6 linked regions of the Xenopus tropicalis genome follow. The protein of the gene in region 1 interacts with the protein of each later gene in a pairwise test. Links are inferred from orthologs where the notes say so. Each region holds a gene or a part of one and is shown in the gene's direction. Other genes may lie near its edges. The genes, in order: creb3l1, fxyd6, plp1, slc35b4, gpr25 and pgap2.

Region 1 (5,026 bases):
TTCCCAGCACTGAACAAGTCTGCCCTTATCCCCATGTCTGATTCCTGTGCCATATAATGAGGGGAAAATGCCATCATTATCTCTATATGTAAGGTACCAGCAAGGGGCCTGACACAGTGCTGGGAATCAGCATTCTCATTGGTCACTTCTTTTTTTACTTCCCCTGTTTTCTGTCTGGTCTAACGCCACAGCCCACCCCTTTATGACACTGCCATGCCCCTTTATATCATGGCTCCACCCTTCATCCCCCCAACCCCAAATACAGTGGGTCTTATTTACTAGCAGAATTAGTGCAAAGTGGCTTATGTCATGTACAACTGACATTTGGCTGTGGGAGCACACATGATTTGGCATATTGCATGCATTTTTGTATGATTTCTATGAGTCAACTTAGGGGGCTGTTCCTGCTGAATTGTGCTTAGTACAGGGGAATCCCTATGCTGCCATAGTTTTATGGTATCTCTCTGTACAGGCTATGGGCAAACTTAGGGGGCTGTTCCTGCTGAATTGTGCTTAGTACAGGGGAAACCCTATGCTGCCATAGTTTTATGGTATCTCTCTGTACAGGCTATGGGCAAACTTAGGGGGCTGTTCCTGCTGAATTGTGCTTAGTACAGGGGAATCCCTATGTGCCATAGTTTTATGGTATCTCTCTGTACAGGCTATGAGCAAACTTAGGGGGCTGTTCATGCTGAATTGTGCTTAGTACAGGGGAATCCCTATGTTACATAGTTTTATGGTATCTCTCTGTACAGGCTATGGGCAAACTTAGGGGGCTGTTCCTGCTGAATTGTGCTTAGTACAGGGGAATCCCTATGTGCCATAGTTTTATGGTATCTCTCTGTACAGGCTATGAGCAAACTTAGGGGGCTGTTCCTGCTGAATTGTGCTTAGTACAGGGGAATCCCTATGTGCCATAGTTTTATGGTATCTCTCTGTACAGGCTATGGGCAAACTTAGGGGGCTGTTCCTGCTGAATTGTGCTTAGTACAGGGGAATCCCTATGTGCCATAGTTTTATGGTATCTCTCTGTACAGGCTATGGGCAAACTTAGGGGGCTGTTCCTGCTGAATTGTGCTTAGTACAGGGGAATCCCTATGTGCCATAGTTTTATGGTATCTCTCTGTACAGGCTATGGGCAAACTTAGGGGGCTGTTCCTGCTGAATTGTGCTTAGTACAGGGGAATCCCTATGTGCCATAGTTTTATGGTATCTCTTTGTACAGGCTATGAGCAAACGTAGGGGGGGCTGTTCCTGCTGAATTGTGCTTAGTACAGGGGAATCCCTATGTGCCATAGTTTTATGGTATCTCTCTGTACAGGCTATGAGCAAACTTAGGGGGCTGTTCCTGCTGAATTGTGCTTAGTACAAGGGGAATCCCTATGTGCCATAGTTTTATGGTATCTCTCTGTACAGGCTATGAGCAAACTTAGGGGGCTGTTCCTGCTGAATTGTGCTTATACATAGGGGAATTTTATACTGGCATAGATTTATAGTGTGAATAGCCTAACTACTACTGATGCTTACTGATGACTTTCCCCATGCCCTTTTAGTATTATTAACCTTTATTTCTATAGCACTGGCCTGTTCTGCCCACATTACAGAGATGATACAGCAGTTCCTGCACCAGCAGAGCTTACAATCTAATACTAATATATTTAATATGGTATAAAATGATATATTTTCCCAGTGCCTTCTATCCAATATTATTCCCATCTCTCCTAGTATTTATAATTTAGCTGCACTAGAAGATTAGGGCAATTGTGGGTGTGGGAGGAGTTGTTGTTATTGTTGTTGTTGTTATTGTTGTTGTATTTGCATGCTATGATTTGCGGTACATACGGTACATGTTGCACTCTGAATGCAAACACCCTGCGCTGCTTTTCCGACTCACTAACAGCGACTGCTCCATTCTAACCCTGCACTCCCGGGCTCTGTGGCCAGACATAAGGCTCCACTAACTTTCACTTTTTTTGCATGCTCCTCTCCCATTGGCTCAGAGCCGTCAGTAACCAGCCAATCCAGCTTCCTGATCTCATGCTGGCTTTACTAGCACTCAGAATTAACCCCTTGCCGACTGCTACAGGAGGTGTTTTTATTATGGGAACAGATGGTGCCATAAAATGCCTCAGAGCTCATTCAGATTCTGGACATGGGAACTATTAACTGCTGTCCCTTCCGCAGAGATGGGTTTATTTAATGTACAGAAAAGCGCGGCGTGGGCGAACTCACTGGCACGGCAGGGGTTAATTCACTGCTGGGGAGCAGGATATTAGCGGCCAAGCGGTTATTATACCAAACTGCAATATAGTAATAAAATGAGATTGTTTTGTACACATTCCTGGCCTGCATAATGTATTCACATGAGATGTTTCTAGTAGACACCAGTTAGGGGGGGGGAATGTCTGTCTGCTCATAATACAGATATATATATATGTGTGTGTGTGCAGTGCCCAAGGATTTACAGCAGCAGCATGAATGGAATTAGAACTTGCATTTTGGAAATCATAATGGAAGCCATGTTTGTGCCATGCCCTCTGCTTGAACCTTTTAGTGACTGCTAATATCCTTATCATTTACATTAGGGGGTACATTATCCCTTATAATACATGAGTGATACTCAGAGTTCCCTGTATAACTCAGCCTGCAGCCTTGTGCCTTTATATGGGGGGCACAGAACCCCTCAGTGACTGCTAATATCCTTATCATTTACAGTAGGGGGTACATTATCCCTTATAATACATGAGTGATACTCAGAGTTCCCTGTATAACTCAGCCTGTAGCCTTGTGCCTTTATATGGGCACAGAACCCCTCAGTGACTGCTAATATCCTTATCATTTACAGTAGGGGGTACATTATCCCTTATAATACATGAGTGATACTCAGAGTTCCCTGTATAACTCAGCCTGCAGCCTTGTGCCTTTATATGGGCACAGAACCCCTCAGTGACTGCTAATATCCTTATCATTTACAGTAGGGGGTACATTATCCCTTATAATACATGAGTGATACTCAGAGTTCCCTGTATAACTCAGCCTGCAGCCTTGTGCCTTTATATGGGCACAGAACCCCTCAGTGACTGCTAATATCCTTATCATTTACAGTAGGGGGTACATTATCCCTTATAATACATGAGAGATGCTGGCCCTGATTAAGGCCATACAAGAATAACAGGACTGGCCTGCAGCTGAATTAGATGGGTGAATAAGTAGCCGCTTGGGTACATATCTGCCATAATGTTCTATATTTAAGTCTCTGTATGTTTATTCTCACTTCTCCCCATTTCCCCCCTAGCACTTCTCAGAAGCTCTTGATGACTTCTCCAATGAGCTATTTAACAGTTTTTTCGATGACCCGCCCTTACTGGACCGAGACTCCTTACTCGACATGGATGTGGAGAGCCCATCGCCACCTATCCAAGCCGAACACAGCTACTCATTGAGTGGAGACTCAGCCCCTCAGAGCCCTGCCCTCACCATCAAGGAGGAGGATGAAGAAAGTCCGACCGGTTAGTGAATATGACATTGCAGTCCTGGGAGTCATCGTATCTATTCAGTGACTGATGCAGGAAGCGTCTTCAGAGTCTTGTCTGCTCAGTTCTATTGCTCAGGCCACACTGACATTGATGTAGTAATGGCAGAATACATTAATCCTTTTAACAGTGGCTTGGACGACTTCTTGGACAAGTATTTCATCTTGGGCTCCAGTATACATAGTGTATCAATGTTTCTGTGTGTATGCATTGGGTATTATTTTGAAGGCTTTAGCTTAATGGACTATTAGTCTTTACTTTTATATCTATTTGCCTTCCTCTTCTGCATCTTTCCAGTTTTTAAATGGGGGTCACAGCCATAAAGCTATTGCTCTGCGAGGCTACAATTTAATTGTTATTGTGACATTTTATTACTTCATATTCATTTATTATCTTCCTATTCAGGCCTCTCCTATTTATCCTCCAGTCTCACAGTATAACCAGTTTCTGGTTGCTAGGATAAATTGGACCCCAGTAACTCTCTATATCTACTTCATACTAAAACTAAATTAAGCTTTTACCAATACCAGGACAAAACAGCAGGGGGCACTCCTGTTATACATTCATAATTGTAGCAATGGTTATGGAAATTGCAAAAGTACCCCAAAAAGCAATGTTGGAATAAGCTGTGTGTAAGTTGGGGGGGGTATATGTACTGTTTACTACAGAGTGGGCTTTTGGGGTGTATTAGAGGTGGCTAATTTTTTTCTCTCCCTCAGAGCCCCCTAGCAACGGAGTCTGGGCCTTGGAGCACGAGATCTGCTCCCTACTGGTCAAACAGGAACACAGTCTAACGGCACAAACCAACGCCGCGCACTGCAGCACCGCACTAGAACATGCCCAGGGATCCATGGGCCCCCAAGACGAGGAGGTGAGTGACTGCTCGCTTGGTCCGACCGTTGCCAGGGACGCAAGTGCTCCGAGCAGGATTCTCTCAGTGCTTCTCTAAGGAACGGTTGCCTTTGGCCCTTTAAAGGGATTGTTCATCTTTGAGTTAACTCTTAGGGGCTGATTTACTAATCCACGAATCCGAATGGGAAACATTCGGATTTGAAAACGAACATTTTGCGACTTTTTCGTATTTTTTGCGACTTTTTCGTAGCCGTTACAACTTGCGTGAATTGTCGCGACTTTTTCATGCCCGTTACAAATTTCGTGAATTGTCGCGACTTTTTCATAGCCATTATGACTTTCGTGAATTGTCGCGACTTTTTCATAGCCATTACGAGTTTCGCGAATTGTCGCAACTTTTTCGTATTGAGTGCTCGAAAAAGACGCAAAATACCGATCATTATGAAAAAAACGCATTCGGACGCTTTTCGGACATTCGTGGATTAGTAAATGTGCCCCTTAGTATGATGTGGAGAGTAATATTCTGAGACAATTTGCAATTGGTCTTCATTTTTTATTATTTTTTAGTTACTGTATATTATTTTCAAATCAGGAGTTTCAGCAGCTATTTGGTTGCTAGGATCCAAGTTACCTTAGCAACC
Region 2 (5,503 bases), on another chromosome or scaffold:
AGCATATGTAAAAATAATATATAAATGTATATTATTAATATTCAGATAAAATCCTTCATTTACAGTAGAGCTGCATTTCTACAAAAGTCCATGCTGCCAGGCACATGTGTATGTTAAAGTTTTACTCATTAAAAAATGTCTGCAGCATGATATTGCATTTGTAATTTTCAGTACTGAATTATTAGGCGCAAGTGTTGCAATAAAAGTAATGTGGGTATAAAGGTGAGCTGCATGATCTGAATAACATGGAAGTCACTGAAACAGTGGGACACAGTGGCAGTGCATATGCTGGTCAGGATGAAGGAGAGACAGAGGGTAAAATTATGAACAGAAAATAGAACACTAAATATAATGAAAAAATCAGTGGAAAAGAGAAGCAACTGGAACTGCAGTAATAGAAACGAATTAAAGGGGCGCTGAGCGATATATGGAGAGCAGGTGACCCGGTAGGAAGAAGGGCATAGATAAAAGCCTAAATGAAACAGCCCTGAAATGGCGTTTAAGCAAATAGTCTATGAATCAAATAAACGAGCTCTCACTCACCTGACAGATCCAACCTTGCAAGAATTCATGCACCCCATCTTTCTTGGCCTTTATGCACCGTTCCATCTCTCTCACCCTCTGCACCCAGAATCGAGTAATGTCCTGACTCAGGCGCTACAGCGCCCCCTGCCGGAAATAGCGTGAATGAGCAGGGTACTGCGGTGAGAGAGAGGCGGCCAGAGCATTTAGGCGTAAGAACTCTCAGTTGAGATCGTGTCAGAGCTTTGTCAGTATTTTTTCAGTGAACCAGAATTATAAAATGTACGTTTTTTACTGCTGTTGCCCTATTCCTACAGTGGAAAACGCGAAGCTATTTGAACTGTGTCCGTACAATTATACTCTAACCTTTGCCTGCCTGTGTAATCAGTGCAAGATCAAGTGTATTTATATGCATGTATATGTAATTCACTACACCATTTAGCAAAATCATTTTATATAAATTTGTTGCATAAACCAAAACAATTTAGTTTTCCTGGCCAAAGCAGAAAACCTGCTCTTCAGCTTCTTCAGATTTATATCAAGGCAGCTGCCTGCAGAAATCTCTTTGGTGAAAGCTGTTAGTAATCCCAACCTCCCAGGGCCTCTGCCTTTCATGCCTTAGCCATAAGGTATGTTTGTCAGTACATAGCCACCCTGTGCTGCTGCCATTCAATCACAGCCATCCTGTGTCCCTTTCATCTATTATAGTCTCTTGCACAACACTTTACAATACACTGTGCATCTGTTTAAGGATTATATCTGACTTTCAAAGATGATTTTCATACCAAGTGGGTCAAGTTATTAACTTTGGTTCCTACTGAAGAGCTAAGAAACAGGCTGCTGGTGTGTTTTTATACTCAGTGTAAGCTATCAAACATTTTACACAGTCAAAATAAACAGTCTCTGGGCCGACCTGGAGCCACACAGACCCCCTGGAGTGCCACACAGCAGTGTTATAATGTAATGCCATGCAGGCCACACTCAACCCCTAATGCCCTATGCTTTGAAAACAACTTCCTGTTGATCTCTTTGTGAAAAGAATATGACCTGTCAAATAAGTTTGGGTTATTAAGATTATTCTCACTGACTTCTGGTTAATGAGGTATCAGTAGTATTGAGGAATTCAGTTAACAATATTTATTTCCACAGGGCTCATGGAGGCAGCACTGATTTTCCTTTGTTCTGCTCTGGTTCCAGTACTAGGTAAGTAGGCAGCCTGAGCCAACTGAGTCCATGTTACTCAAGGGAAGCCCAAATCTGTTTTAGTTAATTACAAATACTTATCTGTTGCTAACCTATTATCACATTTGCTATTTAGGACTGTAAGCAGTTAAATAATAATTGGAGCAATCTCTTATTTTTTATGCACGCAGCCACTTCCCCCATGACAATGGTTGGTAGGTCAGTATATGACCCACAGTTGCTGTTAGAGGAGCAGTTCAGTGTAAAAATGAAACTATGAAAATAGTTTATATATACAGTAAATAGTATATATATAGTAATATAATGAAAAATATTTTCAATATAGTTGGGCAAAAATGTAATCTATAACAGCTGACGCGGGCAGATATCTAACATAATAGCCAGAACTCTGCTTCCTCCTTTACAGCTCTCTAAGCTGTTAGCAGTCAGTAACCAATCAGTGACTGAGGAGGTGGGGCATATGGGCCATACCTGTTCAGTTAGTTTGCATTTGAATCTGACCTGCATGCTCACAAACTAACTGAACAGTTATGTCCCATGTGCTCCCCCCCCCCCCCAAAAGTCATTGACTTGCTATGGTTAGAGAGCTGAAAGCAGGAAGTAAACTTTTGGGGTATAGAAGAGCCAAGAGCCAAGTGAGTTGGTTGTATCACAAAACAATATATTAATTAACCTCTTATATAGTCTTAGTAAACCACTTGAGTTCATTGCTTTATTTCATCTAAAGTGGTCAAGATAAGTCAACATCAATCCCAGGGTTACTCCTGTGAAATTTTCTAGGGCTCATTTACAGTGGCTGGGGGAAAAAGAGCAAGAGAACTAAGGGCTCTGGCACACGAGGGAGATTAGTAGCCCGCGATAAATCTCCCTTGTTGCGGGCATTTTTCGCCGGTGGTATGTCATATTGGGGAGATTAGTCGCCCGCAACAAGGGAGATTTGTCGCGGGCATTTTTCGCCGGTGGGATGTCATATTGGGGAGATTAGTTGCCCGCAACAAGGGAGATTTTCACGGGCATTTTTCGCCGGTGGGATGTCATATTGGGGAGATTAGTCGCGCGCAACAAGGGAGACTTGTCGCGGGAAAACTTTTATGTTTCCACCAAACATCTATAACAATTTGTTGTGTGCACTTGGCGATAACTTTGGCTGTGATCAGTTCAGATATAACTGGGAGACTAACTCTTTGGTCGGCTTTTTTCCATCCCTTCTCCCCAGGGAAATCTAGATTTAGGCAAAGGAGAGACAGATTTTAGCTCAATATCTATTACCTTTTTTGATCAGCAAAACATAAAACAACACAGCTACAGCGGCCATGAATGATATCTTGCTGTAGATGGTGAACTGCCAGAATGTTTCCGTGCATACAGAAGACTACTACTAGGAGATAAGATTGCTTGCGGAACTACAAATTCATAGTTTACGATAGGTTGATTATCCAAACCAGAAATTCATTTGTAAAACTCTATTGCATTGTATTTTTCCCCAGGTGCCAGTGAGGAAGTTAAGGATCAAGACCCATTTCACTATGGTAATAAAGTGAATACACTTAACACTAACTTTAAGGTTTTATATTTGGTATACTATCTTAACCAAAACTAAGAACTCTGTACCCTGTGACTCCTAATTTTGGAAACAAATGTCATCTATGCTGGAACACACATTTCCAGTAAAAGCCTTGTTGGCTAGATCCATTTGGATATCACAAGTCATTTATTATTGACTTTTTGTGATTCATTTATGCCAAACCATATGCCCAAAATGAATCACAGGCTGGCGAGTTATTGCTTTTTGTTGCTGTTTATTTAGTAATGTTATTACCATTCCAGTGGTTCTGTTGTATCCAAAACAATCAACAAATTTAACAATGTATTGTCTTATGCACAGATTATGAAAGTTTGCGCATTGGAGGGCTTGTTTTCGCAGTTGTCCTCTTCATGCTGGGGATCCTCTTGATTCTCAGTAAGTATGTTGCATGGATAAATCTATAATAGCTTCTGGTAAATACCAAATAAAGAATGTATGTAATGGAGAAGGAAAGGCATTTTGGCATTTTACTGCCAATAGATTAGCCACATTAGTGCCACGCTATATTTATTCTGCAGAAAGCTTTACCATGTCTGAGTAAACAGCCCTAGAAGCTTTCTCTGTTTGTTTAAGATAGCAGCTGCCATGTTAGCTTGGTCTCCTTAGCTTCCTACTGCAGCTCTAGCACTTGGTAGCACAGCTCACACATTCTTGTGGGAGGGGGAGAGAATTCTTATGATGCAGATTCATGCCCCAAACCTGAAGGAACCCTAAAGGAGAGGAATTCTGATACTGAAGAACATGATTACATAAAATAAGACAAGAAATCCTGTGGTTCTTTGGATAGAGGACTCTTCTGAGAGGGGTTATGGCGGTATTTAGATAGACCTTTCTAATAAAGCTTACTTAGTTTTACCTTTACTTCTCCTTTAAAAAGCATCCTGTCCAGCTGCTTGCATTGACCATTTCCTCCATTGAATCCTGTGCTTTGCTAGGATGGGGGAGTGATAAAGAAAATAAAGAGGCATATACTGTAATTAAGTGGAATCACAAAAATAAGTGCTACAATATCCTTATAAACAATAACAAATCCAATGCACAAGGCCTGTTTTCTATATTCAATGCCCTTCTACATCCCTCAGCAACCTCTCTGCTCACAACTTGCTCTCTTGACCTTATGCCTTCTTCTCTTCTTAAACACTGCGCTGCTAAGCTTACTTCCGCTCTTACTCACATCTTCAATATAAAAACATCTTTCCGTAAGAATAATTTACAAGAATAATTTACAAACTCCTTCTCCTTAACCATCAAAGTCCTTCATTCATCTGCATCTCACTACATCTCTTCTCTTGTGTCTCAATAAGTTCCTGGCCAACTCCTCCACTCCTCTCAAAGCAACCGCTTGGTTGCAACCCCCACTACTATTGCTGCTGTTTCCCACCTTAAACCTTTCTGCTTTGCTGCTCCTTACATTTGGAATGCAATCCCTGATTCCCTACCCCAGACACAGGTACTGTAGATACCTATGAAGGTACTGCCTGGACTATGCTGCCTGTGTGTATGGCACACACAGGGAGCATAGGGTAGGCAAAGTATGGCACACACAGGCAGTATAGGGCAGGGAGGGTATGGCACACACAGGCAGGGACGGGCAGGCAGAGCATGGCACACACAGGCATCTAAGGGCAGGCAAAGTATGGCACACACAGGCAGCATAGGGCAGGGAGGGTATGGCACACACAGGAAGGGTAGGGCAGGCAGAGCATGGCACACACAGGCAGCTAAGGGCAGGCAGAGTATGGCACACACAGGCAGCATAGAGCAGCCAGAGTATGGCACACACAGCCAGCATAGGGCAGGTAGAGTATGGCACACACAGGCAGCATAGGGCAGGGAGGGTATGGCACACACAGGAAGGGTAGGGCAGGCAGAGTATGGCACACACACAGGCAGCTAAGGGCAGGCAGAGTATGGCACACACAGGCAGCATAGGGCAGGTAGAGTATGGCACACACAGGCAGGGTAGGGCAGGCAGAGTATGGCACACACAGGCAGCATAGGACAGGCAGAGTATGGCACACACAGGCAGGGTAGGGCAGGCAGAGTATGGCACAAACAGACAGCATAGGACAGGCAGAGTGCTGCCTGTGTGTGCCATACTCTGCTTTCCCTATGCTGCTTGTGGGAGGTGAACCTGGCAGTGGTTTGTTGTGGGAGTTTGTTAGCAGTTGGAAATAGCCATTAAATGGTCAT
Region 3 (5,484 bases), on another chromosome or scaffold:
TTTCCAATTCGGTCGGAATTCGTGTCTTAGTAAATCAGCCCCTTAGAGGCAGAACAAATAACCCTATTAGTACAGGTATGGGACCCATCATCCAGAATGCTCAGGACCTGGGGTTTTCCGGATAAGGGGGTCTTTCCGTAATTTAGATCTCCTACCTAAAGTCTGCTAAGCACATTATTTAAACAGTAATTAAACCCAATAGGATTGTTTTGCCTCCAATAAGGATTAATTATATCCTAGTTGGGATCAAGTACAAGGTACTGTTTTATTATTACAGAGAAAAAGGGAATCATTTTTAAAAATGTGAATTATTTGATTAAAATGGAGTCTACGGGAGATGACCTTTCCGTAATTCGGAACTTTCTGGATAATGGGTTTCCGGATAAGGGATCCGCTACCTGTAATTTTTTTTTATCTAAACACATAAATAGTTGTGTGTTGTGTTGGCATTTTGCAGAATTCACAATCCAAAACAGGGATAAGATTAACACTGTTTGGGAAAACGGGTATTTCATATGTAACAATATGAGGATACTAAAAGTCACTCAGGTGATGTACATTACGTATACATTATTTTTTTTATTACATTTTATAATATTATGTCACATCCCTAAGCACAAATTATAGTTGATGATATCACGATACACTATTTATGAGGCAATATTTTATATTATTCATGGCTCTTGTGTGTTTTGTAGGGAATAATATACCCCCTATTGTGAAATATATAGTAAATAAAGTATACCCTGTGATAAAATATAAGGTCCATGACCATATAACATAGGTCATGGAGCTCCAAGGTGACTTATAAAATCCTCATATATTTTTCAACAGGGGGTACTTCTCATGTACTAATTCCTACGTTTCAGTGAGTCATATGACAGATATTACATAATTATAACTGCTAACATCACTAAGCACTGTTTATAAGGATATAATTTACAGGATATCCACGGTTCTTGTCTATTAGGATCTATAAGGATATTATGTCACTCAGAAGGCCTACACCTCATTAATACAGGTCATGGAACTCCAATATTCTAATATTCTCATATTTTAAAGAGGGAGTACATTATTTTTTTTTATAATACACAAGTTTGTGAGTCATGTGCCCCAAATGACATCACTAAGCACCCGTTATAGCTGATGACATCGCTAAACACCATTTATAAATTTAAAATTTACAGGACATTCATGGCTTTATTTCCTGTTATTATGTTATACTTTAATACTAATTAGCATATATGAGTAAACTTTATCTAAAAATAAATACAAATATCCCGCACTAAATAAACACTTATCACCTAAAGGCCTCAGGTCCAGAAGGATCTCCATACCACTCCATACCATACCAAAGTTATTTTAATTGCTCTGTTCATTTTTGAAGTACAGGTATGGGATCCCTTATCCGGAAACCCATTATCCAGAAAGTTCCGAATTACAGAAAGGCCATCGCCCATAGACTCCATTATAAGCAAATAATTCTGATTTTTATATATTATTTCCTTTTTCTCTGTAATAATAAAACAGTACCTTGTATTTGATCCCAACTAAGATATAATTAATCCTTATTGGAATCAAAACAAGCCTTTTGGGTTTATTCAATATTTAAATGATGTTTAGCAGATTTAAGTTACGGAGATCCACATTATGGAAAGATCCCTTAACTGGAAAACCCCAGGTCCCGAGCATTCTGGATAACAGGTCCCATACCTGTACAAGAAAGATCATGTGTAGAATATATATATATATTTATAATATAATAATATAATATAAAATAACATGTAGATGTGTGCATTCACTACTATACCCTAACACTGCATCTCTTTCCCTCACAATGGGTCTTTATTCACCCACAAGTCAGGAGAGCGGGGTGTAGAGTTGGCAGCAAGAAGCAAGCGCCCACCCTTGGTTCATTTTAACCCCTACCCTCATAGGGGATTGAAGGGTTCCACACACTGATCTTAAACGGTTTGTGTGGCATATCTATAGATCTGGGAATAGAGGGGTTAAGGGGTTTGGCACAGCAGTTGATAGAGGCTAATGACACTCAGGGACACTGGCTGCAAGCACAGTCAGTGAGAGAGAGGAATCAGGGCTAGCCACACAAACAGGTCCTCTTCCAACAAGTCTATTTCTACAACTATGGGTGAGTAATGATTTCTACTTTACATTCCTGAGTCTGTTGAATAAATCATCTCAGCCAGGATTCTTGATTAATATACACAAAATAATATGAGGGAAGCAACCATGTGATGATTTATTATGTATGTATTAGAAAAGAGAAAAGGGCTTAGACTAAGGAGAAACTATGGCAAATGTATGGTTGGGAAGTGTAAGGCTAAGGATATATGAAGACTGTATAAAAACAAATTTTATTGGTAAAATATTTAGTATATTTTTTTTGCAATGTGTTAAGTGTCCTTGCAAAGTTATTTTATCATTACAAAAATCTATTGGACTTTTGTCTCTTGTATCCAATTCCGGTCTCTTCTAAGCTTCTGAGCTTTTTCCGGCTGGCCTTCTGTTGATCTGTTCCAGTACATCAGGGATCCCCAACCTTTTATACCCACGAGCCACATTCAAATGGAAAAAGTGTTGGCGAGCAACACAAGCATGAAAAAGTTTTCTGAGGGTGCTAATAAAAGCTGTAATTGCCTATTTAATAGCCCCTACGAGGACTTACATCCTACAGAAAGCTCTGTTTGGCATTACACTGAGTTTTTATGCAGCCAAAACTTGCCTCCTAACCAGAAATTCAAAAATAAGCACCTGCTTTGAGGCCCCTGGGAGCAACATCCACGCGGTTGGAAAGCAACATGTTACTCTCGAGCCACTGGTTGGGGATCACTGCAGTACATGTACAGTATGTTTCTGTACAAACCTAAAACTTCAGCACTGCAAGGCAGGAATACTGGCTACTGTACCACCAGGTTACCCTGCAATGCCCAATTTGCTTCCTGTCACTGTTAAAAAGGCTTATGGTGCACTCTAGTGAGCTTATCAGCTAAATACAAGCATTAATGATTTTAGAGAATAATTGCGCAATGTGCAATATGGTGCATGCTCTTTGTTAACAGTAAAGGGATGCACTGACTGGAATTCCATGTAATGCCCTGTTGCCAAAAAATGTATTTACTAAGTGTAATTTTCATGTACACTCCCATTTCTCCATTTTGGGGGTTACTAACCTGGTAAATTTTTCCCGTGCTTTGGAATACTATATTTGGTATATACAGTCCCCTCTACATTATTCTTTGAAAGAGATTTTGTGACAGACAACAGAATGTCAGTACAGGAACTTATAGCAAATAATGGGCCGGATTCCATGGTTTACCACATGAATCGAAGTGGTTGGGGAAAATGGAATTTAATTAGGAGATTAGTTGAATATGACCCAGTGTTATCAAGGCTTTTCTTTTCCCATCATTTGTAGGTGTACTCTCTCTGTCATCTAGTTTGCGCAAGTCATAGTGCAAGTCACTGTGAGAGATCACACTCCATGCATAGTTACACATAATAATTTGGGTTTAAAAAAACATAAGTACATGAAGTTCAACCCTTCCAAATGATCCACAGTGCAACCAATCAATATACTCACATATATAAAAAATATATATACATACCTATACTAAACTCACTGTAGATCTTGACATCACAATAGTCTTGGATACTATGCTTGTCCAAGAACTCATCCAGGCCCCTCTTATAGGCATTAACAGAATCTGCCATTACCACATCCCTCGGCATTCCACAACCGCACTGCCCTCACTGTGGTGCTGCTTTAGGTGAAAGCTCAGTTGCTCATGTCTAAAGGTGACTTCTGGTAATTTGTTTTTTATTATGGGATAATCCCCTCTAATGTATTTGTACAGAGTAATCATGTCCCCTCCTTTGCCTTTTCTCCAGATAAAACAGGCAAATTAATCAATCTGTTACTCTGCTAGGACTTGCCTGAAACAGCAATGTTTAGACTTTTGGGTGTCATCTCATTCTAAGAGGAATGTATCATTTGCACAAAATAAAAAGGCCATTTATAAAATGGGGCATAGGAATCTAAAGTAAATATAGAACGCTGCATGTCCCAGTACGGAAAACTTCTAATCTTAATAGTGATACTAAATTGATAGAGATCTAATCAGTTTTGTTTTTCTAGGCACTGCTATGCCCAATTCTACAGAGTTTACAATCTTAATTTAGAACCTTGAGTACACAGAAAAACATCTTATATAGAGGCCGAAGGAACTAACAATGTTTTTGAATCTAGGGCCCCCTGAGAAATTGAAAGGCTTATTATAAAGCAAATGCAAAATGTGCATAGAATCTGTCTTTTTTAAATCCATACATTCCAGTGTAATTGCAGATATCCTACATTAATTTGGCCAGATTTATCAATGCAGATATAAATTAGTATCCACAATGTTAAATACTGTACATATTGTGTATGCAAATTGTGTAATTTCTGAAACATCAATGACCGAGAGTGCCCGAGAGGGAGGTGGTGTGTGAGTCATGTGTGGGTGCAACAGAACTAGTAATAACTCCATCCCAGGGCTCTTAGTTACTGGGTCCCATGAACTCTGTATTTGCACCTTATGCAACAAAGCAGGCATAACCAGTGTTTCAGCATAAGGTGCAAGTATAGAGGAGCTTGAACTGACACAAGTACCTTTTGATAGCACTTACATTTTGAGTGCCACTTTGCTTCTTGCACTTGCAATGGTAGCTTACATGGGCAACTTTTATATTCTGTAATATGTAATAAGAGATATAGATAGTTCTGCTGAGACCTCTCCCTGTCAGATTCCATTGTCCTTCCCAGTGCACTCACATAACAAGGAGGATGTATTTGTCTCCTATCCTCATCCCCATTCTTGTACATACCATTAAACAAGGAACGTTTAGCCACTTAGAATGTAGCAGTATAGGCAATATTTATATAGACAGATGCTCTGCTGGTGAATACAGTGTTACATGTTATGTTAAACATTTGCAACTAAACTGAAGGCCACAAAGAAGAGTCATTTTACCCTGACGCTGGCGCAGTGTTTACATACCTACTGATATTACATAATAGAGCCAGTCTATTCTAAGTGTATAGTAAACACTCACTAGACTAAATGTGTTTCTTTCATTGTTTGGGGGTGGGAAGAGAAGCAGTGTCAGGGCATGTCAGACACGTTATCCCCAGTTTGTGTGACAGAGCGTCATTGTTGTGTATGTGTGACTGTATGTGGGTGTATTGTTAGCAACAATGTATGTGTTGTACGGATCCACTTGCAGATAGATACAGAGATAAAGGCATAAATTCTCTCTTTTAAAAGCACACTTTGTATACTATACAATGCAGCTAAATGTATTCAAACCCACTGAGCAGTACCAGGCATACAGAGGCTGCAGGTCAGATCCCTTTAGCAAACACCATAGAACATGCCAATATCCACAAGCAAACTATATTCCAGTTCTAATTACTCATAAGGTGAG
Region 4 (5,501 bases), on another chromosome or scaffold:
AGGTACCACATCAACGAGCCAATACGATCCCCAATCCGACTAAATTTTTTAACCTGCCCGATTTGAGGCCAGATATCGGTCGGGCAGGCCCGTCGTTTGTGCCCCTACATGGCCCGATAAGTTGCCGAATCGGTCTGTGGCCCGTGTATGGCCACCTTAAGTGACCTCCATGACAATTCAGATGACCTCTTTTAAAGGAGACATATTGGATAAATGGAAAAAACCCTAATTTTGTAGGCAATTATGAATAATATATGCTGTTGGTTTCACTTTGGGCTAAAAATGAATCCTAGCTGTAAAAATGGCCACTTTATTGGAGCTCCCTATAGATCCTCTCACTTCTCTGTCTGTGTTTCAAATGAAGGGTCGCCGTGTCCTAACGGTCCCTGCCAGAAGCACAGCAGGAGGGGGAGAGCCAATCACAACCCTGCACTCCCACAAGCAAAGCCAGGCTTCAGTTCCCTGTCAGGTCAGACTAGTTGCTGATTGGTTCCTAAACTCCAGAGAATTCAGCTGGCGGGACTAGTAGGGGTTTGGGGGAATGTCTCAATAAATATTTTTTTAAGCACAATCCATCTATATTTAGAGGAGTAAAATTCACTGGTACATTCTTAATTTTTATATGATATGTCTCCTTTAACTCTGGAGGCAATGCATGCCTGACATTTTGCTTATACTATGCATATTGGGCATCAAACTGTTTAGCAGACCTGTGGCACTTACATTTATGATGATCTTAAAACATAATGCCATGTGAGACAAGATACTCTAAGGGGCACATTTACTAACCCACGAATCCGAATCCGAATTGGAAAAATTCCGATTGGAAAACGAACATTTTGCGACTTTTTCGTATTTTTTGCGATTTTTTCGGCGCCTTTACGACTTTTCGGAAATTGTCGCATCTTTTTCGTTACCAATACGATTTGCGCAAGAAAACGCGAGTTTTTCGTAGCCATTACAATGCGCTCGTATCTTGTTGCGACTTTTTCGTATTGAGCACTCGTAAGCGGTGGGCGAAACTTTCAGACTTGGAAGCCTCCCATAGGACTCAATGGCACCCTGCAGCTCCAACCTGGCCCAAGAAAAGTCACCATACTGAAGCTTGAATGAATCCGAATCTTTCGTACTCGGCGCGAAGGCTACGAAAAAGTCGCGACTTTTCACGCAAGTAGTAACGCTATGAAAAAATCGCCAGATTTTGCGCAACATTCGAAATGGCAACGAAAAAGTCGCGACAATTTTCCGAAAAATCGGCAAATACCGTTCATTACGAAAAAAACGCAATCGGACGCATTCGGCCCGTTCGTGAGTAAGTAAATGTGCCCCTTAAATTTGAGGCAATTTACAGATATTTCATCAAAAGCCGTACATTTGGAAAGCTTTGTGGCATGTTAGTTTGACATATTTACCCATTTTGGATGCAGGAGAATATGTACTTTGCAAAAATATATCACTCTCTGTGTTACAGAGCTTTTTTCTTACATACAATGAAAAGTGTGATTTTGCAATAGTTGCAATGACCACCAGAATTTGTATAAACTTCTCCTTTTGGTTCCTCTACATGCCACAGATTTTGGCAATCCTAAACATACTGGACATCAAACAAGGACCTCTGGAATCCATATGCTTACTTCATTTTAGTAAAATAACTTATAATGAAAAATGAAGACCAATTGCAAATTACTCTCTACATCACACTAGTTAGCTACATCTAATACAAAGTTTTACAATTACGCGTCTTAGCCCAGCATAGCGTTAACGTGGTTACATGAACACTATGAGGGCCACGGTTTTTTATCTTCACAATCTTATGAAGATGCTCTTTATTGTAAAGTTATTAATTATATAATCGCGAAGACTAAAATTTCACGTGGGGTCGAAAAAGACAAAACCGTGCGACCAAACGTTGCCTTTCTACTAATTGCGCAGCAAAAAAAATCCGCATTATAGAGAACGCGCGGAAAACATTCGTTGTTCTTGTTCGAGTCCTTTGACTCACTTCTAAACTTGTATACGTGGAGACGTCCTAACCTATGTTTTTCCCCTCAGTCAGCACCAGTACCGCATCCGCTGAAATGGTTAAATTTTTAACATTGCAGCCAGTGATATTTGTACGCACTTCCGTATAAATCGTGCTTGATGGGTATTGTAGTTTTGGAGGTTGGATGCAGCCTCTCCAATGGCCGCAGTAGGCTAGACAAACTGCAAGACTAATAAACTACATTTCCCGTGAGTCTGTGCGCGGTAGGAGGAGGACGTGTCAGTCTCAGGAATGTACCGCCTTCGTGCTTCAGCTGAAAACCGGCGTTAGTTGCTGTTTAGTAGAGGCGTTTAAGTCACTTGTGACCATGCACCCAGCTTTAGCCGTGGGCCTGGTGTTTTCGGGCTGCTGCAGTAATGTGGTGTTTTTAGAGCTGTTAGCCAGGTGAGAACGAAGTTAGCCTTTGGTTCATTCATTTTGACTACAGCCAGCGAAGTGTACGAGTAAAGGTATTCAGATGATAGCAGGCAGGAGGCACGTTTATATATAAGGGGGTGTGTTATTAAGAGGCACCGCTTGATTCACTTTATTAGCTGCCTTTGCCGGGGAGGGACTAGGCAGAGATAAGTTTGACAGGTATCTAACAGCAGCAGAACATAACTTTTCAATGTGTGTTTAAGAGATTTGATAGCGATAGCTGTTAGTTGGATACCCGGGGAACCTATCTATAAGAGAACTGGATATGTGAGATGTGCAGGCCATGATGATCTCCCAATATCAGTGTTCCTCTAGAGGCAACTCCCATGAGAATAACCCAGGGTTGTCAGATCCATGTGTCAAAGTCCTTTATCTGTAGATAGAACCAATTTGTGTTTTAATCTAATGAGTCATCAGTGGTGTAGCCAGTGTGGGCCCTGTTTCATTACCTTTTTATCCCACCTGCAATATTGTGTATCAGTCTGACCGCTATCTCTGCCTGGCTCTGTATTCCTCCCTGGCAGCAGCCATTTCAGTTCACTGTTGTTACAATAAGCTTAGTGAACCAATTACACTTCCACTTGTTGAACTATGACTAATGGGCCATGGAGTTCTGCTTCAACAACATCTGGAGGCTTGCCAGCTGACTAGAGGTTGTTGAAATGGATGCCCATGCACCTTTGAGTCAATGAAGGTAAATTTTGAAAAAGAAATTAAAACAAATGATTTCTACACAAGCCCCTTTGATCTGAATGATGGATCTATGTGAGCAGCCCCCCCTCCCCTCCAAGTATGCATCTGAACCTTGCCATTACCTAATATGGCCTTGTAATTATGGAACAGCTTTTTGTGTTGACAGAGTTTTGTTGGTTTGACCTTGTTTGTGTTACTTTATGGTTTCCATGACATGCACAAACATACTAAACGCTTAGGCTACTTTCTTTGTCAACTAATGTAAAAGCTTTTGCCCTTTGTGTACAGAATTAGAAATAATTTATTCAATTAACATATCAAAATAACCAACATTTTGGTCTCATTGTAGGACATTCGGCAGGTTTAAAAAAGTATATAGATAAAGTAAATGTTCTTCTAAGATACATTAATAAGAATAAGGGCATATGTAGCAATTCATGCAATGAATGTCCCTATGCAAGAAATTTACACAAATTGCATTGAAACAGCATTTGTTAATGGGCTAGTTCACCATGAGATTACATTTTGGTGTGGTGTAGACATTCATGCACTACGACAGTTTAAAACTGGTATTCCTATTTGTTTTCCTTATTCTTTTCATGTTTTTTCTGTTGCTGTTAAGTTTGGAATTTAAACTTAGGATGATTGAATTATAGTAATAACAACTGGGCACTAGGTTAGAAGTAAGACTGGAATATAATTAGGAAAAGGCCTGAATATAAATATAAGCAATATCATATAGGAACAATAATAAATATGATCACATAACAAATCTGCAACCAGATAAAAATCACAGACTGAACTAAGCCTTATGTAATTCTTTAGATGAATAAATGACTAGATATTCATGATGTTCAAGAAAATGAGTTTATTTGTGGTTGCAAAAACCTCTAAATCCACAAAAATCTGAATGCTGATAAGACTGCCAGATAAGAGGGCAATACCTGTATAATATACTAAAATGAGAATGGTGGGTGTTGTGTGAGCGCTGTGTATGTTATAGTAAATCTTTCCTCCATATGGTGTCACCACTTAACATGATATATTTTTCTGTTTGCTTGAATAGGGCATTTCCTGGCTGTGGAAACATTGTTACATTTTCACAGTTTCTGTTCATAGCAGTAGAAGGCTTTATATTCCAAGCTAATTTTGGAAGAAAGAAGTCAGCCATTCCAGTAAGGTAAAATTTTCTCTTATCATTTTTGCTCAGTTCAGAATTATATTGCATGTGGGTATTCAGCAAGCATCACAAGAAGGTCTTTAAGAATCATCCACTTATTGATCCACCTTTAGATACCCAGAAAACTTACACTCATTTCATCTGTAAAAAAAATCCAAAAAATTCAGATGAATAGCCCTTTTAAAATATCCATATTAATACATGCTTTGTATATAGCAAGACCATTTTATTACGATGGGACAAACCAGTACTGTGCTATCCGGACAGGCCGTTGAAGTGGTTAAACGCTCCAGATATTCCTCGAGATGTGTGAATCCTTGTTATCAGCCAGCAATCGATGTACTTTCATGGCTTGTTTATTTATGCACTTCATTTTACACCTTACATTTTGCCTACAGAAAGGTTACATTATTTTTGCAGAAGCCACACTGAAAAGTTTAAAATACTTTCCGCATTATGTCACATTAGTGCATTTTTATGTGAATTTTAAGGGGTTGAAAACCCAAATATAAAATGACTCCTAATGAAATGAATTAATCCATTCTAACTTTCCAACTTTCCTGTATACATTCACTACATATTTTTAATTAATGAGTTATTTGTAAATGTGGTTGCCTTTTAATGCAGTGCTGTTTGTGCTTTGCTATTTTCTGCACCTCTGGTTATGACTACATGTGCTATTGAAACAATGCTACAATATTAACCTCCTCGCCAGCCAAGACACAATTTCCCACAATGCCTTTCATTTATAATAAATGTCCCCATAATGGCTTAGTGCAGGAGAGGATATTGGCTGACTTTTCCCCCTGCCTCCATAAGTTAACTTTCTGTGCTGTTGTTACAGGTATTACCTAATCATGGTAGCTATGTTCTTCACTGTCAGCGTGGTGAATAATTATGCACTTAACCTCAATATTTCCATGCCACTGCACATGATATTTAGATCGGTAAGTAAGCAAAAGAAACCAAATATTTTTATTAGATTGAATGCACACTATGGGGCACATTCATCAAAGTACGACTTTGTGTATGTTCTGCGACTTTTTCGTACATTTGTGTGACTTTTTCATAAAAAAAAAGCGTGATAATATCTTATTGTCACGCTGAGTGCGAAAATTTCGTAAAAAAAAATTATCAATTAGATTTTTCACAAAAGTTCTATTTATT
Region 5 (4,395 bases), on another chromosome or scaffold:
TTTTCTCTGTAATAATAAAACAGTACCTGTACTTGATCCCAACTAAGATATAATTACCCCTTATTGGGGCAGAACAGCCCTATTGGGTTTATTTCATGGTTAAATGATTCCCTTTTCTCTGTAATAATAAAACAGTACCTGTACTTGATCCCAACTAAGATATAATTACCCCTTATTGGGGCAGAACAGCCCTATTGGGTTTATTTCATGGGTAAATGATTCCCTTTTCTCTGTAATAATAAAACAGTACCTGTACTTGATCCCAACTAAGATATAATTACCCCTTATTGGGGGCAGAACAGCCCTATTGGGTTTATTTCATGGTTAAATGATTCCCTTTTCTCTGTAATAATAAAACAGTACCTGTACTTGATCCCAACTAAGATATAATTACCCCTTATTGGGGGCAGAACAGCCCTATTGGGTTTATTTCATGGGTAAATGATTCCCTTTTCTCTGTAATAAATGTAAAGAAGGTGCAGAGCTATTTAATTCTTCATTAAAGTTAAATTGAGGGGTTCGGCTGTAGCCCCAGTGCTTTTCAATTAATTAATAATGACATAATCCTATAAAGTTAGGTGTCAGTATTTGAAGACACAGCAGACAGTTGCAGGACATTTATACACAAGAGAACAAGGTGGGGGGGTACTATGTGGGAGAAAAGGCAAATAAGGATAAAATTATCATAGAAAAGGCAAACCATAGGGGCTTTGTTTGGGATAACAAGAAAAAAAAATGCTAAGGTTTGGGATCTGATATCCAGAAACCGGAAATGATTTTTCAGTAGACTTTTTGTATACAGATCCAAATTATAGAAAGATCCCTTATCCAGAAATCCCCAGGTCCCCAGGACCTTGCTGAATTCTGTCTCTGTAGCAAGTATTAATAAATAAAAGTCAACAGACAGTAATGCAAATAATAATAATAATAAGTAGAGTAGGGACGGGGGCCCAGAGCTGATTGGGCAGGAACGGAACATAATGACTCTGCTTAATTATTAAGTAATTGGTTTTCCTGCAGTGACTAAATTCTACACTAATGGGAGACCGGATATATAAAAGGACAGAGAAATGCAGGAAATTCAGAGAGGGGATATCAAATGGCTCATGAAAATTATTTTTTTATTATTATTATCATTAATAAGATCAGAAATTGTTTTCCGAAGTAAAGCAGTTATTTAATCATTAACCATTAACTTAACTTTTAGTAGGTTATAGCAATGCCTATTCTAAACAACTTTTCAATTGGTCTTCATTATTTTTTTCTTATAGTTTTTAAATTGTTTGCCTTTTTCTTCTAACTCTTTGCAGCTTTTAGATGGGGGTCACTGACCCCGGCAGCCTATTGCTCTGTGAGGCTCCAGTTTTATTGTTACTTTTATAACTTGTTTTTCTATTCAGTCTCTCTCCTAATTAAAACTGCTCCCTGGTCGCTAAGGTAATTTGGACTCTAGCAACTAGATAGCTGCTAAAAACTCAGAACGAGAAGTAAAATAACTAAAAAACTACAAATCAGCCGTCAGTCAGGCAGAGACAAAGCTGTATGTTAAGGTATGAAAAATATAATATAAATATAAATATATATTCAGGTATATGTTACTAACACAGGAGTATATATTGGGGGCTATGTTACTAACACAGGAGTATATATTGGGGGCTATGTTACTAACACAGGAGTATATATTGGGGGCTATGTTACTAACACAGGAGTATATATTGGGGGCTATGTTACTAACACAGGAGTATATATTGGGGGCTATGTTACTAACACAGGAGTATATATTGGGGGCTATGTTACTAACTATATATGGGAGAGGATACCTAACTAAGGTATATGGCCTAACACAGAGTGGGGCTAACTAACACAGGAGTATATATTAGGGGCTATGTTACTAACACAGGAGTATACAGTATATTGGGGGCTATGTTACTAACACAGGAAGCCCTGGGAGAGAAGCTACAAGTGCCAAATGGAAGGATAACAAATAGAAAGCAGAAATAGTCCCACCCCTGCGCTTGTATTGGTGGGTTCTGAGACTAATGAACCCTTCTGTATAACCACAATAAACATATGAAGGGCTTATATAACCCCCTACCCACGCTGCCCACACATCCTTTGGCACTGCCGCCCCTGACCAACCATGAGTGTTGCTACAGCCATGGAGGCCGTTACTTATAATTACGATGAATACAGTGATTATGATAACGACACGGAACCCGACTGCCAGGATGAGAATTTGCCCCATGGGCACTGGATTCTGCCCACCCTCTATCTGATCTTTTTTTTCTTTGGCCTGACTGGGAACGCCATAGTGATCGCCATTGTGTCCAGGCGGAGTTCACGTCGGGCAGATATTTTCATTCTCCACCTCGCCATCTCTGACTTGCTTTTTGTATTGACTCTGCCATTTTGGGCTTCTTCGTTGGCGCTGGGGGGGCAGTGGAGCTTTGGGGTACACATGTGCCGCGCCAGTGGGTTTATTATCGCGGTTACCCGCTGTGCCAGCTCCTTGCTAATGGCCATCATGAGTGTTGACCGTTACCTTGCGGTGATTGGGGGGCATAGGATTCACCCTTTCCGCACTAGGACCTGCTCCCTGGGGGCTTGCTGCGCCATTTGGCTGCTCTCCCTGGTAACTGGGATCCCCCCTCTGGTTTTCCGGAACCTGGTGGAGAACGTGTGCGTGGAATCCTCAGAATCGAGACTCAGCGTGGGCATCAAGTTGGCCACTTTGTTCTTGACCTTCGTCCTTCCACTTACCGTGGTGGCGTTTTGCTACAGCTGCATGGCTAAGCACCTCTGGAATTATTTTGGGGGCCCTCAGAATGTTGCTGGGGGCAAAGCGAAGCCTCGGCGTAGGCACAGCTGGCTACGTATAGTCTCGTGTGTTGTGGCAGCGTATTCATTGTCTTGGTTGCCCTATAATACCCTCAGCACTGTAAGACTGGTGGCCGAGCTTGGAGAAGGCTTTCCCTGCCACACCACGGTCGCCATTAACCAAGCGCTCAGTGCCACAGCCGCCATTGCCTTTGCCAACAGCTGCACCAACCCCCTCATCTACTCCATCCTCGATGCCGGCTTTCGGCACAGGACAAAGCAGACCTTGCCCAGCATTTTCCCCATATGCCAAGCAGTTTTCCATCTCCCCTTCCGTGGTGGGAGCCAACAGTCTACAGTTGCCAGCACCGAGAGTAGCAGCTCCTACACACGCAGCTACTGAACCCTTCCAAGCCCTTTATAAATGGCAGAAAAGGCTCAAAAGCCAACAGCGATCCAACATCATGATGGACTAGAATGTCCCCAAGGTGCTTATTCTCTCAATAGACAACACTGGGACTGAGTATGTAAAATGAAGGCAAATAATATCATTTCTTTATGTGTATAAAATGATTATTTCATCAGTTTATTTTCCCTACAGTCACACGTCATATATATATATGCGTTTTTTAATACACAATTGATTGTTTTTGGAATATAACTCGGTGTTGCTGGTCTTTTTTGGATATATATATACACTCATAGAGCAGACTATCCAATATAATGACTTCTATGCCTTGAACGTGTTATACTCTGTACAGAATATAAAATGTCCTGAAGCATTAAAATGTTTTAAAGCTACAACCTACCTTTAGCTTATTCTTTGGTTGCAAACAACAGAGGGAAGACCAAGGAAGCCCACGATTCTGGCTATAACCGGCAAGCAGGTTGGGTGTGTTGGTTGGTTGAGATTCGGAGGTCATTGGTCAAGATCACTCTCAGACTGGTGCCAAAGGGTGCTGGGTGCAGTCCTTGCAAGATTTCCAATCTGTGGTAATGCAGCGGTTGATAAACTGCAACTCCCAGCTTCATTTAGAGTGATGTTGAGGCAGCAGAGGGTATCAGCCGGCACACAGCAACCTATTGAGCAAATCCTGGTATAGTCTTGGGAACAATATCCATGTTGGTTGGGTGCAGATGTGCATAGAAGGTCCCAACGCCATTCTTTGGGGAGTCCGTCTGTCCAGCTGATCTTGCACCTCTCCGTTGGTTGAGTAATTCTACTAGTAGTAGTAACATTGGTTACAAAGCAACTCATCCTCATCGACATACCCAGGTAGCCATTGAGAAAATAAGAAAGGTTGAGATACAATGGCACAAACCATGCTTGAGTGAAGGGGGCTGCGAATGGGGCTCTAGGAAAAGTTAGGGGTACAAGTAGATGTACCAAGGGCAGAGTGAGAAGGGATAGAGCTATGCTGAGATGTCACAGCAGGGGGCAGCGTTGAGTTAAGTATTAGCTAAGGAGAAGCGCAAAGAAGGCAACTTTCTTCAGCCTGTACACGGATGAATGAAATCTCTTGTTCTATTAATGCTATACAATACAACATAATATAGGCAGAAGAGCTTACACCCAAT
Region 6 (5,615 bases), on another chromosome or scaffold:
CTAACCCACTCACTGTCAGTAACTAACCCACTCACTGTCAGTAACTAATACACTCGCCGTCAGTAACTAACCCACTCACTGTCAGTAACTAACCCACTCACTGTCAGTAACTAACCCACTCACTGTCAGTAACTAACCCACTCACTGTCAGTAACTAACCCACTCACTGTCAGTAACTAACCCACTCGCCGTCAGTAACTAACCCACTCACTGTCAGTAACTAACCCACTCACTGTCAGTAACTAATACACTCGCCGTCAGTAACTAATACACTCGCCGTCAGTAACTATACACTCGCCGTCAGTAACTAACACACTCGCCGTCAGTAACTAACACACTCGCCGTCAGTAACTATACACTCGCCGTCAGTAACTAACACACTCGCCGTCAGTAACTAATACACTCGCCGTCAGTAACTAATACACTCGCCGTCAGTAACTAATACACTCGCCGTCAGTAACTAACACACTCGCCGTCAGTAACTATAACACTCGCCGTCAGTAACTAACACACTCGCCGTCAGTAACTAACGACACTCGCCGTCAGTAACTATACACTCGCCGTCAGTAACTAACACACTCGCCGTCAGTAACTAATACACTCGCCGTCAGTAACTAATACACTCGCCGTCAGTAACTAACACACTCGCCGTCAGTAACTAAGACACTCGCCGTCAGTAACTAAGACACTCGCCGTCAGTAACTAACACACTCGCCGTGAGTAACTAATACACTCGCCGTCAGTAACTAACACTCGCCCTAACACTCGCCGTCAGTAACTAACACACTCGCCCTAACACACTCGCCGTCAGTAACTAACACACTCGCCGTCAGTAACTAACACACTCGCCGTCAGTAACTAACACACTCGCCGTCAGTAACTAACACACTCGCCCTAACACACTCGCCGTCAGTAACTAACACACTCGCCCTAACACACTCGCCGTCAGTAACTAACACACTCGCCGTCAGTAACTAACACACTCGCCGTCAGTAACTAACACACTCCTGTGCCCTGATGTATTGTGTGTAGGGGCAGTGGAGTAAGGGGTCTCTGCCCCCAGTGACATTTCTATATATACTCAGTGGGGGATCTACACTTACACCCCCCCCTTAGGGCTCTGGCACACGCGAGGCAACAAAGTTGCCTGCGCAGCGTGTGCCATCCCACTGGTGACTTACATTTTTGCCAGTGGGATGGCAGTTCGGGGAGATTAGTCACCTGTGATAAGGGAGATTTGTTTCGGGCGACTAATCTCCCTGTGTGCCAGAGCCCTTACCCCAAGGGATTCCTGACTGTGGCCCCATACAGGCACTGACTATACAGGTCCCAGAGCGGATCCCCCTGTCTGGTGCTCAGTCGTCTGCCCCCCCCCTGGCTCCCCCCGTTGCACCCCCTGTCTGCGCCCCCGTCTCCCCCCCTGCTTGCTCCCCCCCTGTCTGTCCCCTTCTCATCCCTCCCCTGTCTGCTCCCCCCCCTGTCTTGCTGCTCCCCCCTGTCTGCCTCCTGCACCGCCCCTTTCGTGTCTTGCTCCTCCCCCTGTTCTTGGCTGTTTCTATCGCTCCCCCCCTAGTCTGCCCAATCATGCCCCCTGTCGCGCAACCCCTGAATCCCACTCCCATTTTGAGTATTTTCCACAACCCCATTACACCGCAACCAAGCCCTGACTATTCTTACCCCGAGAGTTCCGCATTTAAGCGCCACTACAATGTTTTGCATTTCTCTAGCCCATACAGGCGGGCCCGCTAAGTCCCTCAACTCACGATACCTTCCCCCCCATATACCATAGAGTTGAACTATAGCTCCCCTGTCCACTCATGCACTCCCCCCCTAGCAGGCCAGTGCCCACTCTAGTGTTTGTCAGCAGCAATTCCCTGTCCCACTCATGAGTTGACCTTCCCCCCCCACATTAGCACTCGCAGTGACATACAGATCCCTGTCCCACTCATGTTATTGCCCCCCATACAGGCCACCATGACTATACCCACAGATCGAGACCGACATGTCCCCACTCATGTAATATTCCGCCCCAGTACAGCACCCACTATACAAGTGATCCCCCCACTAACAATTATTTCCACTATCACCGAACATACATCAGTACAGATTTCCCTGTCCCACTCATGATTTTATTCCCCCTACCTTGACAGGCAGTGTGACGCATATAAATTACAGAACTCGACTCCCGGACTCATGATATTCCCCCCATACAGCACGTGACTGTAGTTTATATAACAGATTCCCTGTCCCACTCATGTTATTTCCCCCCATACAGGCAGTGACTATACAGATTCCCTGTCCCACTCATGTTATTTCCCCCATACAGCAGTGACTATACAGAAGATGTCCCGTGTCGCCACTATAAGGATATCACCCCGCCACCGATACAGAGGCGGGTGAGATATACAAAGATCCGCTGTCCCACTCATGTATTTCCCAGCAGCATACGGAGGCATGACAAGGTATGACAAGGGATTCCCTGTGCCCAACTGCATTTAAGACCGTATCTAGCAGAGTGAGGTAGTACAATTCCCTGGTCCCAGCTCATGAGTTATTTTCCCCGCAGTAGAGGCAAGTGACAGTGATAGGCAGGAATTCGACCTGTCCACTCATGTTATTTCCCCCCATACAAAAGTGCAGGTGACTAATACAAGGAAATAGCCCTGTCCCACTCATGTTGATTTACCCCGCACATAGCAGGCAGTGGGAGCGTATACGAATCCCTGTCCCACTCATTTATTTCCCCCCCATACAGCAGTGGACTATACAGATCCCTGTCCACTCATGTTATTCCCCCCATACAGCCTTCCGTGGCCCTGAGCTGGGCCAACTCGCTCTGTCTCATTCATTCACTACGTTTGCGGTGGGCACGGTCTCCCTGCCATTGTTTGCCTTCCTCTTCTGCATCGTCTGGTCCCTCCTCTTCAACTTCAGCCGAGACGAACTGCATGCCACTGGTCGATGTGAGTGAGACCCCCCGGCCACGGTGCCCCCGCGTAACCCGAAGAGTTATAGCCCGATAATCCCGCTGAGAGTAGTGATACTGGTGCACATGTATGATTGGGGCGCGCCCCCAGGGTGGTGGGATATATACTACACCTACCCCCCCCCCAGTGTACATACAGATATATACCTACCCATTTACCCAGATCCTCGGCTCTCTCCCCTCTCTCTCTCCCCCCTCTCTCTCCCCCCTCTCTCTCCTCCCTCACTCTCTCCTCCCCTCTCTCTCTCCCCCCCTCTCTCTCCTCCCCTCTCTCTCTCCCCCCCTCTCTCTCCTCCCCTCACTCTCTCCTCCCTCACTCTCTCCCCCCTCTCTCTCCTCCCTCACTCTCTCCTCCCCTCACTCTCTCTCCCCCTCTCTCCTCCCCTCACTCTCTCCTCCCCTCACTCTCTCCCCCCCTCTCTCTCCCCCCCCTTCTCCTCCCTCACTCTCTCCTCCCCTCACTCTCTCTCCCCCCTCTCTCCTCCCCTCACTCTCTCTCCCCCTCTCTCTCCTCCCCTCACTCTCTCTCCCCCTCTCTCTCTCTCCCCCTCTCTCTCCTCCCCTCACTCTCTCCCCCCCCCCTCTCTCCCTCAGGTCCTAACTACCTGCCGTCAGTCAGTGCCGCTATTGGAGGAGAGACCCCCCAGAGATACATATGGCGACTGTGCATTGGACTTCACTCTGCCCCTCGCTTCCTCGTGGGCGTGGCATACCTGCACTACTATCAGGGCACCCCCTGCTCCAGCCCCGCCTACCCCCGGCTCTGTCACCTCAACTTCCTGCTGAATTGCTGCGAAATCTTCTTCCTCATCCTGCTGACTTACGTCTCATCCTCGGAGAATTATGGTAGGGCCGGGAGAGACCAACATCGTGTGGCGGGGGGGGCAGATGTGTTAGAGATACCCCCAGTATTAGCCCCGCCCCACCTACAAACCAGGGGCAAATACTTTTGTCTCCTCTGCCCGGAGGTGGTTGGGCAGTTTGGCCAGTTTCAGCCATATGGCCTGACCGACTAGACACGTATGCAGGAATGGGGGGGGGGGGGGGCATTTCTATAAGTAGAAGGGTTTGCTTTCAGCCAATCATGGGGGCCCTCCTGCTCTTTCTTATAAAGAGTTAACCCTTCTGTAGGCATTGTGTTGGTCTCTTGCTTAGACAATAGGCGGTGCTGCCATAGCGGTTTCCATGAAGGGACGTAGGATGTGCCCCCCCCAGGATTCATGTTCTGCAAGTAAATGTGGGTGGGGGTTGGGTCTAATAGATAGATAACCATGCTTGTTGGGTTCTACGTAGAACTTCTCTGTCTCCCCAGAGGTCCATAAGTTGGGTTTCATGGCCTTCATGTTGTTCTCGGTGGGCTACATGTTCGTGACCTGCTCGCTGTGGCGCGTGGCGCGTAAGGGCTCGGGGAGCCTGGAGGTAAGTGCCCCCGCTTTATGTCTTTCTATGGGGTCGTCAGTGTGGCCCCGGGAGTGTGGGGAATTGTGGGTAAATGGGCCCAGATGTGGGCAAGCTCAGTCTGCACTAAAATGTCATTGTAATTGAGAACTAAAGCTCAACCAATAGTTTGGCTAGAAATGCTTCCCCTTGTACTGTGGCACCCCAATACTACCCCTAATGCCCCTCTCTGTCTGTGTCACCCCAATACTACCCCTAATGCCCCTCTCTGTCTGTGTCACCCCAATACTACCCCTAATGCCCCTCTCTGTCTGTGTCACCCCAATACTACCCCTAATGCCCCTCTCTGTCTGTGTCACCCCAATACTAACCCTAATGCCCCCGTCTGTCTGTGGGCACCCCAATACTACCCCTAATGCCCCTCTCTGTCTTGTGTCACCCCAATACTACCCCTAATGCCCCTCTCTGTCTGTGTCACCCCAATACTACCCCTAATGCCCCTCTCTGTCTGTGTCACCTCAATACTACCCCTAATGCCCCTCTCTGTCTGTGTCACCCCAATACTAACCCTAATGCCCCCGTCTGTCTGTGGCACCCCAATACTAACCCTAATGCCCCCGTCTGTCTGTGGCACCCCAATACTAACCCTAATGCCCCCGTCTGTCTGTGGCACCCCAATACTAACCCTAATGCCCCCGTCTGTCTGTGGCACCCCAATACTAACCCTAATGCCGCCGTCTGTCTGTGGCACCCCAATACTATCCCTAATGCCCCCGTCTGTCTGTGGCACCCCAATACTAACCCTAATGCCCCCGTCTGTCTGTGGCACCCCAATACTAACCCTAATGCCCCGTCTGTCTGTGGCACCCCAATACTAACCCTAATGCCCCGTCTGTGGCAGCCCCAATACTAACCCTAATGCCCCTCTCTGTCTGTGGCACCCCAATACTACCCCTAATGCCCCTCTCTGTCTGTGTCACCCCAATACTACCCCTAATGCCCCTCTCTGTCTGTGTCACCCCAATACTACCCTAATGCCCCCGTCTGTCTGTGGCACCCCAATACTAACCCTAATGCCCCCGTCTGTCTGTGTCACCCCAATACTAACCCTAATGCCCCCGTCTGTCTGTGGCACCCCAATACTAACCCTAATGCCCCCGTCTGTCTGTGGCACCCCAATACTAACCCTAATGCCCCCGTCTGTCTGTGGCACCCCAATACTATCCCTAAT

What was found.
Region 2: the proteins of creb3l1 (region 1) and fxyd6 interact in binary tests that used the Homo sapiens proteins (3 or more experiments, as listed by UniProt). The two-hybrid records come from large-scale screens. The link is inferred for Xenopus tropicalis from reciprocal best matches to the Homo sapiens genes CREB3L1 and FXYD6.
Region 3: the proteins of creb3l1 (region 1) and plp1 interact in binary tests that used the Homo sapiens proteins (3 or more experiments, as listed by UniProt). The two-hybrid records come from large-scale screens. The link is inferred for Xenopus tropicalis from reciprocal best matches to the Homo sapiens genes CREB3L1 and PLP1.
Region 4: the proteins of creb3l1 (region 1) and slc35b4 interact in binary tests that used the Homo sapiens proteins (3 or more experiments, as listed by UniProt). The two-hybrid records come from large-scale screens. The link is inferred for Xenopus tropicalis from reciprocal best matches to the Homo sapiens genes CREB3L1 and SLC35B4.
Region 5: the proteins of creb3l1 (region 1) and gpr25 interact in binary tests that used the Homo sapiens proteins (3 or more experiments, as listed by UniProt). The two-hybrid records come from large-scale screens. The link is inferred for Xenopus tropicalis from reciprocal best matches to the Homo sapiens genes CREB3L1 and GPR25.
Region 6: the proteins of creb3l1 (region 1) and pgap2 interact in binary tests that used the Homo sapiens proteins (3 or more experiments, as listed by UniProt). The two-hybrid records come from large-scale screens. The link is inferred for Xenopus tropicalis from reciprocal best matches to the Homo sapiens genes CREB3L1 and PGAP2.

Annotation. Positions count from the first base shown.
Region 1 is NC_030680.2:13,416,806-13,421,831, reverse strand, and holds part of creb3l1 (cyclic AMP-responsive element-binding protein 3-like protein 1), read left to right. Parts: intron 1-3,295; coding exon 3,296-3,509; intron 3,510-4,252; coding exon 4,253-4,404; intron 4,405-5,026.
Region 2 is NC_030683.2:81,651,358-81,656,860, forward strand, and holds the start of fxyd6 (FXYD domain-containing ion transport regulator 6 precursor), read left to right. Parts: upstream 1-1,669; 5' UTR 1,670-1,676; coding exon 1,677-1,725; intron 1,726-3,212; coding exon 3,213-3,254; intron 3,255-3,610; coding exon 3,611-3,685; intron 3,686-5,503. UniProt on the Homo sapiens protein: Associates with and regulates the activity of the sodium/potassium-transporting ATPase (NKA) which catalyzes the hydrolysis of ATP coupled with the exchange of Na(+) and K(+) ions across the plasma membrane.
Region 3 is NC_030684.2:37,579,618-37,585,101, reverse strand, and holds the start of plp1 (myelin proteolipid protein), read left to right. Parts: upstream 1-2,105; 5' UTR 2,106-2,145; coding exon 2,146-2,149; intron 2,150-5,484.
Region 4 is NC_030679.2:86,407,260-86,412,760, reverse strand, and holds the start of slc35b4 (UDP-xylose and UDP-N-acetylglucosamine transporter), read left to right. Parts: upstream 1-2,180; 5' UTR 2,181-2,351; coding exon 2,352-2,428; intron 2,429-4,220; coding exon 4,221-4,334; intron 4,335-5,178; coding exon 5,179-5,281; intron 5,282-5,501. UniProt on the Homo sapiens protein: Antiporter that transports nucleotide sugars across the endoplasmic reticulum (ER) membrane in exchange for another nucleotide sugar.
Region 5 is NC_030678.2:172,542,973-172,547,367, reverse strand, and holds gpr25 (probable G-protein coupled receptor 25), read left to right. Parts: upstream 1-2,140; coding exon 2,141-3,220; downstream 3,221-4,395. UniProt on the Homo sapiens protein: Orphan receptor.
Region 6 is NC_030678.2:177,474,065-177,479,679, forward strand, and holds the start of pgap2 (post-GPI attachment to proteins factor 2), read left to right. Parts: upstream 1-1,974; coding exon 1,975-2,032; intron 2,033-2,804; coding exon 2,805-2,957; intron 2,958-3,576; coding exon of another isoform or gene 3,577-3,580; coding exon 3,581-3,832; intron 3,833-4,298; coding exon 4,299-4,405; intron 4,406-5,615.